Drosophila melanogaster: one gene and its partner. The protein of the gene in region 1 interacts with the protein of each later gene in a pairwise test. Each region holds a gene or a part of one and is shown in the gene's direction. Other genes may lie near its edges.

Evidence for each region. The genes of interacting proteins can lie anywhere in the genome.
Region 2: the proteins of CaMKII (region 1) and Abp1 interact in a two-hybrid assay, tested with the Drosophila melanogaster proteins (one large-scale study listed by BioGRID).

Annotation. Positions count from the first base shown.
Region 1 is NC_004353.4:1,046,501-1,054,443, reverse strand, and holds the start of CaMKII (Calcium/calmodulin-dependent protein kinase II), read left to right. Parts: upstream 1-3,065; 5' UTR 3,066-3,101; exon of another isoform or gene 3,102-3,750; intron 3,751-3,834; 5' UTR 3,835-3,924; coding exon 3,925-3,989; intron 3,990-4,051; coding exon 4,052-4,146; intron 4,147-5,197; coding exon 5,198-5,257; intron 5,258-5,885; coding exon 5,886-5,940; intron 5,941-6,295; coding exon 6,296-6,621; intron 6,622-6,714; coding exon 6,715-6,809; intron 6,810-6,868; coding exon 6,869-6,991; intron 6,992-7,053; coding exon 7,054-7,180; intron 7,181-7,943. UniProt on the Drosophila melanogaster protein: A key regulator of plasticity in synaptic physiology and behavior, alterations in its activity produce pleiotrophic effects that involve synaptic transmission and development as well as various aspects of behavior. Directly modulates eag potassium channels.
Region 2 is NT_037436.4:13,480,984-13,489,405, reverse strand, and holds Abp1 (actin binding protein 1), read left to right. Parts: upstream 1-3,125; 5' UTR 3,126-3,548; coding exon 3,549-3,803; intron 3,804-3,865; coding exon 3,866-4,317; intron 4,318-4,378; coding exon 4,379-4,555; intron 4,556-4,617; coding exon 4,618-5,096; intron 5,097-5,159; coding exon 5,160-5,392; 3' UTR 5,393-5,873; downstream 5,874-8,422. Other genes in the region: stv (starvin), read right to left, coding at 6,653-6,971, 7,037-8,370.

The DNA of each region.
Region 1 (7,943 bases):
AATGGAAGATATCGCCCTGTAATAGTTTAAATACATCTGTCATCTCTTTTATTGCGGCTTTACTATTTTTGTTGTTACGAAAAACTCAAATTTTTTTAAACAGTTTACTCGTCAATTTTCCTTTGTCAGAGTAAGAGTCTATGTCTCTAAAATGTACTTGCTTAGTTTCAACTTCCTAGCATTTATAGTTCTTGAGATCGAGGCGGTTTACACAGATTGACGAATGGGGTAAAACGGCTAATGTAATCATACCTTGTGCGTTTCAGATATCAGTTTTAAATTCTAATTCATTTGTAAATTGAAGAGCTCCAACAGACTGAAATGAAATGATTACAAATTAAGGATTTCATTTATTTTACTTTAAATAAAATTAAATTTAAATTTAAATATTTATTTTTCTTTTTGTAACATTTTAGGTCACGGTGCGCATGACAAAGTGTTGTGAAACGTTGGTTTGAGTACTTATTAGTCTAACTATGGAGCATTTATGTGGGCAGTTTTATGGAATCACGGCCTAAAATAAAAAGATAATATGAAATATATTACTTTAGAGTTCCAATCAACCCAATAATGTTTAATGCGGAGGTAGTTCAGTATAGTGATATGTGCACAAATTAATGCGCAGACGCTCCTGAAACGAACCGTCGTTGGCAAAAGTTTTCGATTTAACGACATTATGAGACGAAAAAGCTTTTCTCTCTAGCAGTTCATCGAATCAAACGCGGCCGCAAAATCTTGTTAGTCAGTATTGAATTCGATTTTCAAGAAAACAGACGTTCTAAAAATTTCGGTATCTAGCTGTGTGTTTCGTGTTCTCCCAGCTCGTTAAAAACATATACATATAGCTTTTTAAATACTCTTATAAGCATTTTGAACAAACATTTATCAGATCTCCTGAAGTTTAAAATATTGTTATTCGCAATTGAAAAGAACACATCAAGTATAGGTATCAAATTGGATTTAATATACATACATATGTACTCACTTATGTATTTTTATATATATGTATATTTATATAAGTTTACGTATCTATAATACCTGATACAATTCTGGGTCAACACAGATTCTAATATATACATGAGTATACACATATACATATATTTGATATATGTATGGTCTCTTACTGTGTATATGCCAACTAATATTAAATACTTTTTTCGCGCGTATAACGATTGCATATTGTAAAGTTAATATATATATTCACACGCTTCACTTATATCTTAAAAGGACATTTATACAACATCAGTATGTACCCCATTTTGTGCCTTTGTTCAGTTACGCAGTAAATATAAATATATGACACTTAAAAATTTTGTAATTGTTATTGCACAATATACATACATCTTACAAATTACTCTTGATATCTACAAGAAAGTTTAAAACATACCTAAATACTTACGAGTTATGATAAATGCTTTTTTTTTAATTTTAAAAAAGTGTTTCACATTCTATATATCGTCCCTCCTAGTCCGAAAAATGGGTTTAGTAAAACATTTCTGAAGGTCTCATCCAAATAGTATATTTAATTCGCGTACATAGCGCGTGTTTATATGATTTAATGAAAAAGTATAATTTGCAACAAGTAATTTCCAAGACCCTGAAATATCCTTGCTAAAAGGGGTGGGGCGTTTTACCATTAAGCTCATCAAAAAAAGCTTCAACGCATGTAACCTGCAAAGGATACATACCTACATATATATGTACGTATATATATAACTGCTTCCCAGATACATTCTCATAATCAGGATTTTCTTTTTTAAGAAATTAACCAAAAACACCTGTCGCTTTTTTTAATTGATTGAAATATGTCAATGAGAGTTAAATATATCTGGTTTAAAACAAAGATAATAAAGTTTTGATCACAAATTTTAAACTTTTCGTAACATTTGACTTGACAATATTATATTATAAGTATGTTATTTCAAAATTGCGAGGGTGCAATTAAGGGTCTACATATACCTTTTCCAGGGAAACACTTCTTTTTCATGGTGATTGGGTCTAGTTTTAAAAAAACACGTACAACAAACTAAAAACTAACAGTACCGCTGTTACCGGATATGGCAAAAAACAAACCTCACGGAGAGGTATAAAACAAGAGAGAACGTGACAGTAGTTCATCGACTATTTAACAACCCGACAGAAATGTGCAAAATAAAAGAATAAATAAAAATAATGAAACAAAAAAACAAAACACTTTGTAAATGTGTGGGCAAAATCGAAATAAAAGATTTCAAGACTGAAAGAAGCAAATTATTTTTCAAAAAAATTGGAGTTACAGTTTTAGGCGGATTAAATGTCTGGTTCTCAAGAAAACAAATTTGCATGCTTTATCCCATGCCTGTCGTCCGTATCAACGCTGTTACCGCTGAAACTATAATAACTGGAAAGTAAAACGAAAAAATAATTTCCATTTTTTATTCCTTTACTCAATACGTAATATAGGTTAATAGTAATGATTGTTGCTGCTCTTGATCAGCTGGCTATCACACTAGCTTCGTTGAAAAGTATGTAACTTGCAGAACGACGCGTTTCCGAGCGTTTAAACTATATATAGTCTTCACCAGGATCAATAGCCGAGTCGAATTTTCATGTCCGTCTATCTGTATGAACTCCACGATCTCAGGAACTATAAAAGCTAGAAAGTTAAGATTGTGCCATGCCCTTTTTAAGTTTTCGTTTATTTTTTTTCAAAAAATTGTTGAAATTGTTTTGCCAATTTTAATCGGTACGCCAGAAAAATGTTTAATATTCTCGTTCATACTTCCACTAGCTGAGTAACAATTATCTGATAGTCGAAAAGCTTTACTATAGCGTTTTCTCTTGTTTTAATTCTGCAATGGATTCGTATTTTTTCAGGGCCATAGTTTAATTTGATATTGAAAACGCCACTGAGTGGTTGATATGCATATCGATGTAAGGCCCGTTTACACTGCACTAACCGCGGAGTTATGGTTTTACATATGTAGATACCTTTGCTATTTTGATGTGCATGGGGAACAGTTAAGTGTAGCTTTGGTAAGGAGTTGACCCCTATGTTTAATAATCGAGTTTATTACATTTTTCGTCTATCGAATGTCATGTCATCTCTAGGCAACAACAAGGTATCAGATTCAACGTTTGAGATAGGATAATACATTTTCAGACATTTTTCAATTTGTGCCCCCGCACATGTTGTTTCTTGCGAAGTATGGTGTTTTTTCGTATGATTTCATGATCACATGAAAAAACTTCAACCACCAAAATCTTCAAAATGGAGGTCGAGTTTTCTAGTTTAAGCAACGTGCTTTAAGAGAACTCACTTGAATTACCAACTCAATAAGAAACCTGCGGCTGTTTAAAATAACATAACCCTTATATTATTACAAACCATTTAAAATTTGAAGAACTATATGTAGATTGCTGGTCTGTTTTGCATCGACTCCACTGAGTAATATAGAATTTTAAAATTGGAATAGCGAGACATTCTTTTAATTTTACCGATATGTGTTTCTATGAAATAAGTTACCTAATCTGTGCTCTGAATACTTCTGAATTACATTGGCGAGCTTTACTTTACGAGCTTCATGCCCGATCTTATACAGAGAAGAATGCAAGTTTATACTATGATGGCCGGGGGATTCTCAAATACATGCAGTACCCCTTTGGATACCATAGAACCAACGCTGTCTGAAACTTTTGAACCAGCTAGTGATTACTTTATAACAAAATAATATTTAGAGAAGGCCCATGGTACCTAAATGGTACAACAATGTATGTATGTTTGTACGTTGTAAGCAATTTTTTGTATAATTTTTGTAAAACTGATTTATTATCTTATATTTAAAAATCGTTTAGAAAACAAGAAATAAAACTCCTGAAAAGTGAAATCTGTAGAGCAGTTGAAGATCTTTAGTCGCAATAGATTTTCTTAAGTGTGCCATCGCGATGGCTGCACCAGCAGCCTGTACGCGTTTTTCGGACAATTACGACATCAAAGAAGAGTTGGGAAAGTAAGTTTAACAAACTCAAGGTTAATAAATTTATTATAATAACCCGTCTATTAACATTTCAGAGGAGCATTCTCAATTGTGAAAAGATGTGTCCAAAAGTCAACTGGCTTTGAATTTGCTGCAAAAATTATCAATACAAAAAAATTAACTGCCAGAGGTAAGGCTTTCTGTGTTCTATGTAGGTTATAAATCACATATGTACGCATTTATGCTATGCACACGCATGTAGGGAAACTAAGTGCTGTTTTTAGGTAATTCGTCGAGTACAGTAAAAGGGTATACTAGATCCTTGATCCTTGGAAAGTATGTATATTCTTGATCAGGATCAATAGCCGAGTCCGTCTCTCCGTATGGTCGTCGAGATCTCAGAAACTATACAAGCTAGAAGGCATACAGATTTTAGAAACAAATACGCAGCGCAAGTTTGTTGACCCATGTTGCCACATGCGCCACGCCCTCACTTTTGAAAAATGTGTTGATATTTTTTCACATTTGTATTGGTCTTGTAAATTTCTATCGATTTGCTCAAAAAAAAGTTTGCCACGCCCATTCTAACGCCCTTTAACTTCTATCGATTTGCTTAAAAGCCGCCAACCGGTCACGTCCACACTTTGGACCAATTTTTAAACTTTTTTCTTATTTTATTCCCCAATATCTATCGTTATCCTAGAAAAATGATGAAATTTCGCGTTCCCATTCACACTAGCTGAGTAACTGGTATCTGATGCCGTTTTTTCAACGGCGATATGGCATATCGTAAGAAATCAGTAGTAAACATTGACTGTCAAAAAGTTTTCCTGTAAAATGTACTTTCTTTTTGCTAAGTACGCTTTTGGAAGGGACCATTCTTTTTGTGTAATATCTTCGTCGTCCCTATCTATTTGCCACACAAGTATCAAATAGTTCTACAGTAATTAAGTTGTATTTCTTGGTGTTGTGCTATTTAGTAATTAATAAATTTTTACTGCCAAGACGTGGCCAAAATAATTTTGGAATAGCAGTATTGGCAAAGTGTGTAATTTACAAAAAATATATTAAATAACTTTTAAGAAGTTTGAGCATGACAGCTGGGACAAATTTTGGGCTTAGAGAGAACCATTTGCTTGCTCGCCAAAAACCTCTTATTAACATATTTGTACACATGCATGTATGCATATAAGAGATGCTTATAATATATATATATATATATTTTTTTTTTTTGCTTTTAGACTTTCAAAAACTGGAACGTGAAGCAAGGATCTGCAGAAAGTTACACCATCCCAACATAGGTATGCAACGTGTATATAAATATAATTTACTTACTTATTCTTTAAAGATACGTTTTTCTGAAGATGTATGATCTACATAAAAGTAGACGAACATGGCCTAATATCACTTTGAACATCTACTATACATAATTTTTATATGTACATTCAATCACGGCTTAGACCCCAGTAGTGTTGATGACTTGCAATGTGATCCTGATAAAGGATGGTTTGACGTCCACGGTAACACAACGAAGAAAAAAATAAAATAGAGTTTAGTAGATATATCAATCCGCATCTGCAAGCAACATTCCATTCCTCGCCCTCCCTACTCTCCAATAACAAATCTTCCAAGTAATTTATAATTATAATAATTATAAAAACTTGCAGAACAGCAAAAACCGAACTCATGCAATAGACTTTCCTCTCACTAAAAGCGTAACCTAACAAAACAGTTATTTACACGGACAGTTCAAATCTAGAAACATCACTTCCTCCAGCGTCACCGACAAAATATATAATATGTTCAAAATGTATTTTATAAACATATATTTTTATAGCCTTTAAGGCTTATAATCATTGTCATCCGTAAAAAAAAAACATTAAATACAAATGTATACAACTAATAAATTGTTAATATGTACAATTTCAGTGCGGCTACATGACAGTATACAGGAGGAGAACTATCACTACCTTGTTTTTGACCTGTAAGCATTAACCTGCATAGACTCCTTACCAAATATTTAAATTGCCTATCCCCAAAAGTGTTTTAAAAATATGAGTTTCTAACAAATGCTTGTAAATGTGGCAATGACTCGACTATTGTTTATTGAGATTCATACTTCATCCTTTTCCCTCCGTTCGTTCATACTATAATATGAATATGAATCAAATTTTAAAGCCGCAATATAATATATATAATATAATATGAATCAAGTTTTAGCCGCAATATATTTTTGTTATATTAGAGATGTGTTTTCTGCTGTCGCAACTTAAATATAACCTAAATTTAAATTTAGAGCTTCAATCGCAAAATTTGACTATGCCTACATACATTTGCAGTGTAACCGGTGGTGAACTTTTTGAAGATATCGTTGCACGCGAATTTTATTCAGAAGCTGATGCATCACATTGTATTCAACAAATATTGGAATCGGTCAATCACTGCCACCAAAATGGTGTGGTGCACCGAGATCTGAAACCAGAGAATTTACTATTAGCTAGTAAGGCTAAGGGTGCAGCAGTGAAACTCGCTGACTTTGGTCTAGCCATTGAAGTTCAAGGCGATCATCAGGCTTGGTTTGGATTTGCCGGCACACCAGGATATCTGTCTCCTGAGGTATTGAAAAAGGAGCCCTATGGGAAATCGGTAGACATATGGGCATGTGGTAAGCAATTATAATTGTTGTAACATTTGCATGCACATGCATGCCAAACGGCAGTCGGTTACACAGTTCAACAACTATTTTATTTTTCCTCAGGAGTTATTCTTTACATACTTCTTGTCGGTTATCCACCCTTTTGGGATGAAGATCAGCACCGACTGTACTCGCAGATAAAAGCGGGAGCTTATGATGTACGGAAACTATAATAATTTATGTGGATTCATTATATTTAAATATAACTTTATTTTAGTATCCGTCTCCAGAATGGGATACGGTTACTCCAGAAGCTAAAAATCTTATTAATCAAATGCTAACCGTTAATCCAAATAAACGAATAACTGCAGCTGAGGCTTTAAAACATCCGTGGATTTGTGTAAGTGCAGACTAATTTTTCTCTTAGGTTTACATAAAGATAATGAAAAAACATTGTTACAGCAACGCGAACGTGTGGCTTCCGTTGTGCATCGCCAAGAAACCGTAGACTGTCTCAAGAAATTTAATGCGCGGCGCAAGCTAAAGGGAGCCATACTTACGACAATGTTGGCGACCAGAAATTTTTCGAGTATGTAACTTAACTTAATTAATCTTGACCACATCAATATACTTGGCGTCAACACAAAAATATACAAAAAGAATAATAAAAACGCTATGGCCGATTTCGTTGACAATTATATACCCGTTATTCAGCTTGTAGGATTGATATAAATATATTTAACTTCGTATAAAAAATACCCTTTACTCGTAGAGTAAAAAGGTAGACTATATTGTTTGAAAAGTATGTAACAAGCAGAAAGAAGCGTTTCCGAGCATAAATAGAATAATATTCTCGATCAGGATCAATAGTAGAGTCGATCTGGAACTGTCCGTCCGTATGAACGTTGAGATCTTAGGAACTATAAAAACAAGAAGGTTGAGATTACGCAACCTTTATTGATCCATATAAACACTCTAACGACCACAAACCGTACAAAACTGCGACGCCCAAACTTTTGAAAAATGTGTAGATATTTTTTCACATTTGTATTAGTCTTGTAAATTTTTTATCGATTTGCAGAAAAAATTGAGACCTCGTTCATACGGACATGGCCAGATCGAGTCGGGTATTGATCCTGATCGAGAATATACAGTTGCGGTAACAAAATAGCACCATAAGCACATTTTGTGTTTGTCCCAGCGTTTCTCCATTTTCTGAAACTTTTTCAAAAAAAATAATTGTTAAAACAAAAAAAACCTTCAAATTTAGGCGGTAACAAAAATATAACTGTTCCTCGTAGTTTGCTAAAACTAACCAAAAAAATAAAAAAATAATTCAACAAATGGATTAT
Region 2 (8,422 bases), on another chromosome or scaffold:
TCAGAAATTATGGCTGATAAAGCCGTTCGCCAATGGGTAAATAAACAGAAAAATGAAACTGAAACTGAGGCAAACATAAACATAAATTGGGGCGGCTATTATCGGAATTCCATGGCTGGGCAGGCATGATTTGCATGTTATCAGTGGCAAATGGGGGGAGGGGACGAAATCACAGCCCAAACAGCCGGTTATGTGCTTATCGTTGCTACCCCCATTATAAATTGTGCAATTACCCGGAGAGCATGCCTAATCAAATTGCCTTTTTGTTTAACAATTATACACATATTTGCGATCCAGCGCACTGAATACCATACCACAACTATATGCCACTCACTCTCTGCCGGCCATTTCTTTGGCATGTCACGCGGTTTGCCGCTCTGGGTGGTGTGCCATGGTGTGTCGCATGGTGGGCAGAGAATGCAAATTGCAAATATACATATAAAAGATATGTCGCCAGTACAGAAATATGCACTACGGACGAACAAATGAACGAACGAATGCCCCATCCACAGCCACATCAAGTCGACAATTCGTGCTCGTCAGCCGCAGTGGCACTACGAAAACGACTGGCTGACTGGCTGGCTGGCTGGCTATTATTGATAAGGGGTCCCCGGGTCCGGTGGCCGACGATACTTCACATATGCCAACCGCTCGACTGCCGCTCTCTGCCATCGAAAATGCGGCATTTGACACATTTATGAAAATCGGAATCGGAATGCGCCGCAAACTCATTTTGTTGGAATGTTTTGTTGTCGTTTTTTTGTACGAAAATAAAACATTTCTCGGATTCGTCGAGTGTTTATGCGTTCGCACAGTGTTCGCGGCCAGGAATCCGCTTGCGTCCATTGTCGCACTCATCGATGTCGCCGGGTGGGTAGAATTTCGGAAGAAACTGTCTGACTGGGGGATCGCGGTTACAAAGAGGAAGATGTCAGCCGGAAAGGGGGCACTGTTGCAATCGTGAATCATGACTGGAGCACGCAGAAGGGTCTGCGACTGGATACACTGAGAGGAGTTAGAGCCCAATAGCAAATCTGAATTCAAAGATTAAATGTAATATGGCAAAATGTGATAACAAACAGCACCTCTGATTGGTAGCATACGAAGTATGTGAATAATAATCAGATTACATTTGGGAATTCATTAACTAGGCATGAAATCGTTTGCAAAACGTTTTGTTACATTTTGTTTCTTTATATAATGTGACTTTGATAGTCTAGAATATAATGATGTTTTTATGTAAGCAAAAATCTTGACATCTATTAAGACTTATCAGTTTAGCAGACTTGTAGAGTTTTCCAAGTTCATTCACATTAAATCCATTCAGAAATTATTTTAAATTTGTAAAGAGCTACTACTAATTTGAATCACTGCTTTACATTCCCATGAATGTTTTAGACGCAAGATGTTCATATTACTGGGCATTTCTTTCTGTGTCTGACACATTGTTGAAATACTTTCCGAGTCTTCTTGGCTCAAAGGTGAAAGCCATAAAAGAGCTGTGTATAACCCCCACCCCCACTGCCCCGTTTGGGTTGAGTACATCAGGGCATGTTGTTGGCCAAGTTGAAATCATAAAAATTGTCGACTCTTTTTAAACGGAATTGGTTAATGGCTCCAGTTGGTGTTTTTTTGTTGGTCTGTAAGTCTGGGTCGGATCGGTTTGTTCACTTACCGCTGGGATTGTTTTGCACCATGGTCGCCGCTCTAGAGAGTACATCCAGCGCCGTTTCCATGATGATCTCAACGCTTCTACGTGGGATTGGACGTGGATTTGGAGTTGGACTTGGACTTGGTTTCGCTGCTCCTGCACCGACTCGATCTGCACCGCATGAGTTTCACACTGAAAATGCAAAGAAATTGACCATGAACAGCCGCACCACACACACTTAAGCCGCACACACATCTCTCTCGTATGTGTGCCTTACAATATATACACCGAGATATCCAAGTGAAAAACTGGATATATCGCCCGAGCCTGGCATTGGCATATATGTAAATGGAACAAAACCAAAACCAAAGCCAAAACCAAACCAAAGCGAACAAAGACTGACTGCCTGACTGGCTGACTTGAAACAAGTAAGACGAAGGCGAAATCCTGCTGCCAAACAGTTGCCATCTGATCGGAAAGCTGTGGAAGTGGATGCTGATGAGGGGACATGCACGGTGGCGGGGCGGTGAGGGGCCACGATGCACTTGGGACTGGTTTTTTTCGGAGGCCCCAAGACCAAGAGTTCGGGGGCTGCTCCGTTGAATATTTCGGCAATGACCAAAGTACAGCAGCCAGAGCCATATTGTTGCTAGCCAGTCAGCCAACCATACAGCCAGCCAGCATCCGACGTCTAGTTTCCACATTAATATACGTAAATATCAGGCCACAACAGTGGAGCCACTTTACCTTTCGCCAGGTGTGCGCCTTCAAATCCTCGCTGGAATCCTGCTCCTCAGCTGTACGGCGATTTATCCTCGCTAATTTTCACCGACTTTTCACGATTTGCGCTGGGAAAAGCGGGGGTTCGATGATTTTTGGTATAATTGCAATAATAGTTCAGTTCGCGTTAGAGCTGGAAGATACGTCGATGTAACATCGATGGCCAAAGTCATCAGTCTGTATTCACATCGATATTTGCTCAGCCTTACCAACACTAATATTGTTCAGCGGTGACTTAAGCCCACATATAACATTAGCGTTGACTCGAACCATTTTTAGAAAACTTAATGTACAAACAATGTAAACATACCTAACAACCTAAAACATATTATTTGTCAATAGTATTTGCAAAGTATATTATAAGCAAATATAAAGGTTATGATATGAATAAACACCATATACCAGTTTTTTCCATTGGATAGAGATACAAAAAAGTTGAATAAAATATAAAAACGAAAAATGTTCGTATGTGTGATTATTAAAAAAGAAGATAATGCTTATATATATAGTTGAAACTTTACGACTAACACCTATAAGAAAAACGATAAAGTAAATCAAAGCCTATTAGACGAGGTACACGTTACTAGATACGTTCTAAAACCTCTGTTATTTAATTTCAATTTTACAAGTAAAAACCATCGATAGCGGCACAGTGGCAACATTGAAAGTATCGATTAGACATCGCCTGTTGTCCCAGCTCTAGTTTGTTGTTGCAAAAAAAGTGTGTGGGTCGCCGCCAGCGATCGAATATTTTAAAATTCCAATCAAATTGGTTAATTGGGGAGTTGCAATTGCTTGAGCGTTAAGTTAAACCTATTTCTGCACGCATAACTCGAAGGATTAAGGTGGAAAAGTGGAATTTGGAAAGCCGCTGGAAATTCGCACATACTGGAAAATCAATCACCCACTATCCCATTGTTCTGCTTGTGTTTGTGTACGTCTGTGTGCCTTTGTGAGGCGGCTGCACTTAATTAAAATTTAAGACAAGACAACCCAAGCAAATTTGGAGTCTTCGCGAGGCGTTGGCTTTCACTTGACGAAGAGGGCACCCCGATAAGGCGACCCAGTGAAAGCTGGCCAAGATCTCGCTGCTCAAGGTCGTTGTCAGTCTGGAATTATGGCCGTCAGCTTCGAGAAGAATCGGGCGCAAATAGTGGCCGCCTGGAAGGATGTGCTGGACGATAAGAGCGACACGAACTGGTCCCTCTTTGGCTACGAGGGTCAGACCAACGAGCTGAAGGTGGTGGCCACCGGCGATGGCGGCGTGGATGAGCTAAACGAAGACCTAAATAGCGGCAAGATTATGTACGCCTTCGTCCGAATCGAAGACCCCAAAACGGGCCTCAACAAGTACTTGCTCATCAACTGGCAGGTGAGTCCGACGGCGCCCTTATCTAATCGAGCTACGCATAATCTGACTGTGCTCCCATTCAGGGCGAGGGCGCACCTGTTCTACGCAAGGGTACCTGCGCCAACCACATACGTGATGTGAGTAATTTGCTGTCCGGCGCTCACCTTACCATCAATGCCCGGAACGAGGACGATATTGACTTGGATCGGCTTCTCAAGAAGCTGAGCACCGTGAGCTCAGCCTACAGCTTTAAGGAACCTCGAGGCGCCATGGAGGAGCAGAAGGCGCCGGTGGGAACCAACTATACTCGGGTCATTCCCACCAAGGAGTTAAACGCCAGCGTTATGCAGGACTTCTGGAAAAAGGAGGAGGCCGAGGAGAAATTGCGACAGGAGGCAGAGAAGGAATCCAAGCGGCTTGAGCTTCAAAAGTTGGAGCAGGAGCAACGTAGTCGCGAGGAGAAGGAGCACAAGGAGCGGGAGAAGTTGGTCATAAGCACCACCAAGCTCCAGCCGGCCCACGTACCCATCAAAACGTAAACAAAAACATCGGAATTTGACCTTCTCGGTAGTAAAAATTCTTTTTTTATCAAACAGGTCACCGCAACCTTTGAGCCCTGAGAAAACTGCACCAGGATTTGCCAACAATCTGACCGATGCGGAGCGCATGCGTCAGGCGAGGAACCAGGAGGCCCGCGAATTGATTGGCTCTCGTGTGGGTGCTGCCAAGGCCATGTTTACAAAGCACACGAGCGAGGGACAACTTCAGTCTAAGTGCGTCCTTGCCCCTCTCCTATTTTGTTGTATCAGAAATAAACTGCTCTTTTGATTCATAGACTAAATACGCAACCGCCGGCCAAACCAGCTCGCAACTCGATTGCCCAGCGCATCAACGTTTTCAACCAAAACCAGCCTCAAGATGCACCTGTGCCTTCACCACCACGCGCTGCGTCCCCTGCCAAACCGTTGCCTGTAGAGGCTCCCGAACCAGTAGTCCCCGCTCCAGCTATAGCTCCTGCTGCTCCCGTGGCTGCCGAGGTTGTTTCCACAATAGCGGAGGTGGAGGAGTCGCAACCGGTAGACGATTTGCCACTGGCCCATGAGAGCGAACAGTTCTCGACTATCAAGCGATCACCCCATAGTAAATCGAACTCGCTGCAGTCTCAGTCGCCCGACGAGACCACCTCTTCCAATGAAACAGACACCGCTGTTTCCCAGGAACAGGAAGAGGAGGTCCGCACCAAGGTGTCAGTCACCGTGCAGCAGTCGCAATCGGTCAAGTCGAGCGGCATGAGCACACTCGAAAGGAATGCATGTACGTAAACCATAGCTATGACCCGTTGTTCGTTCTATATTTAAACACGAGTGTTTTTTGTAGTAACGGATTTGGTAAACGAGGACGATTTTATCTGCCAGGAGACCTTAGGCGATCTGGGACAACGGGCACGAGCTCTATACGATTACCAGGCAGCCGACGAGACAGAGATCACTTTCGATCCAGGCGATGTCATTACGCATATCGATCAAATCGACGAGGGATGGTGGCAGGGACTGGGCCCTGATGGAACCTATGGACTGTTTCCGGCAAACTATGTCGAGATCATCAACTAGGGAAACCCAAGTGCCAAGCAGCTGGGACGCCCTTTTGCTAAATATCTACACCAATGCAGCTAGCAACTATATTTTGGATCCGGACTATAGCTACTTAAACACTTTACCCCATAATCTTGAACAATAATGCGATACACCTAGAAGAGATTCAACGATGACTAAATGCGACTATAAGATTTTTATCGTACATCACGCGTCTGTTTTTTATCTACATACATATTATTATATAACGTATAATCCATGCCACATATGCAACCCTATCATACGTTGTTCCCATTTGTATACATATTATATCATTGTTTGGCCTCGATTGCCGAAGCCGTGTTGCGTCCTTTTAAAATGTTCTTAGGATACATACAAAGTAACCACTTAGTCAGTATTTAAGGCCCGCTCCATTCCCGATCCAGGGTTCTTTTGTATATGTATTATTGATCGAGATTTATAACCTTTTCGATAATAAACTTTGATAATTGTGCAACCGAAGGATAACACAGTTTTATGGTCAACAATATCTACATTTATTTTCGCATTAATTAGTAGCATAAATAGTTATCATAGTTTTTTTTTTTTTTCTATAAGAGTTTACGTTCGTTTAACAATTCACCTGCAGCAAAGCCGTGAGTGGTGCACTCGGCGTGATTGGATGGATGAGTTGGCCTGTGGCAAGCAAGCGCGTCTGCTGTAGATTTGTATGAGATCATACGGCGGCTTGCTGCCCCTGTTGCTGCTCATCGGTACAATTTACGTATAAAAACTGGACTCAGGTTCAAAAATATCCTCATGGTGATCATCTATCGCTTAAACATAATCAGCTCTTTTAAGTGAAGCAACCCTTGTTGCCAAATCGTTTTCGCTCTGTTAACTTCCGAATTCTATGCAGGCACATTTTCTCAATATTAATTCTCTTACTAGCCTATAATCTACGCTGTGTGGTGTGTGTGTGTGTGTGTGTGTGTTATGATGTGTGGGGATGAGTGGGTGTTGAGTGGTTGACACGTGAGATTTGCATATGTTTAGATAGTACGGTTGTGCTTCTACGAAATACTAGCAAAGATTCGTCGCCAGCTCCTCCTATTCACATTCACATTACACATCAAATTCACTTTCACATTTACTTTGAATTCAGTAAAATCAAGTCTGTCGCTGTCCGTTGATGAGTCGGGATCGGAACTCTTCTCTATCCTCCGCCTGTTGTCACTTAAATTTGGTTAATTTGCGTAGCTGCTTCGAAACGGTCGCCTTGTAGAGGCGCTGTGTTCATCATTCCGACGTCGTTGTGGTTGTCTCCGACTGAACGGCGGACTGTGTCGCCTCCGCGGCGGTGGCTTCCGAAGCAGCTGCGCCCTCGACGGCAGCAGCATTTGGTGGTGCTGGTAGAGGGATGGGTTCCTGCATCTTTGTAGCATCCTGTGGCTGTGGAGTCACTGGCTCCGCATTTTGTCCGGCCGCTTCCGAGGCAGCAACTGCACCTGTGTCAACCGCTGGAGCTGTTGCGCTAGGTGCAGGTGCTGCTCCTGATGCCGCTCTGGCATTCTCCTCGGCCTTGGCCTCCAGCACATTTATCGAAGCCTGAATGCATCTGCAAGGAACAATCATTGAATTAATTAAATTCGATAATGAGCTCTGGTGACTCTGGTCACTTACTTGATAGCCTCCTTTCGGGCCAGACGAATGCTGTCCTTGCCGTTTGTGTCGATGGTGTCTAGCTTAAGCAGGTTGCGGGTCAGCATCTCGTCCAGGTAGGCGTACTCCTTCTCCTCGCGCGTTCCCTTGAACTGCTCCACCTTGCCCATGAGCTCCAGTACGTCGCGCTGAATGTCCTGGATTTTGTTAATAGAGTTGAGGGTATGTGGTGTCTGTGGCGGCAATCCAGCGGCTCCCTCAACTGGCACCTGCTGCTCAGGTTGCGCCTGGGTGTTTAGTGGCGTCGGTCTGTTGTGCTGCTGTGGAGCAGCGTGTGCCTGTGGCTGCGCCTGCGCATATGCCTGTGCCTGAGCTTGGGCCTGAGCACTGGGCGGAGCGTTCTGGTTCGGTATCTCCTTGTGGGCATTGATGATGGGCTCGGAGCGACCCTCAACAAAGATGGGAATGGTGCGCACATAGGTGCCACCCGGGGTCTGTGGAGCTGGCGGCGGGGTCTGCTGCTTTTGCTGGGGATGCGTCTGCTGGTGCGGCGCATAGTAGGTCTTGAACTGCTGACCCTGAACGGGCGGACTTGTCTGGGTGCCAAACGGTTGGCTATGTACTCCCGGTTGCTGATGCTGTTGCTGCTGCTGGTGATACTGCAGATTCTGCTGCTGCTGCTCTGGCGGAGGGGCGGAGTGGGATCGCAGTCCCTGATCCTGCTCGGCGACACTCTTCACGCCCATGTCGACAGTGTTTCGCAGTCCGTGCTGGTTCAAGTTAGTCGGCGGGGCACAATCAACCTCCGAGCGACCGGCAGGATCCTCCGTCTGGATGGCAGCATCGCAAAGGCGCTTTGAAGGCGTCTGCGGCACCTGCTGCTGGGTTGGTCCGGCATAGACTGGCTGTTGCTGGGGCGGCACACCGAACTGGAAGTGCGTCTGGGGTTGCTGTTGGGTGTACTGCGGCTGTGGCTGCGGCTGTTGCTGCTGTGGAACTTGTCCGGGTGCAGGAGCAGCTCCGGTACCACGTCTGCCTCCGAAACCATCTGGGATATACTGGCGGAACTCCGAGGGCAGCCGATTAAAGAAGTCATCATCGTGGTCCATGTGAGTGTTGGCCCCACCGGCCATTCGACCTCGGCGGCCCATCGTTGAGAAGCGGGGGAAACCAAAGTCTGGATCGTCGAAATAGGATGGAAAGTCATCATCAGCATGGACTTGACCACTGGGACCGTGCAAACTGCTCCGCTTACGTGAGTCGCCGAAGCCGGCGAAGGGATCGTGCATCCTGCCCAGGTGCGAGCGCGGGAACATGTTGTCCATGTCCATGTTCGGTTCGAATCCAAAGGTCGGCTGCTATCAACAGAGAGTAATTATAAATAATTAAATTATAATGAATTCGGAA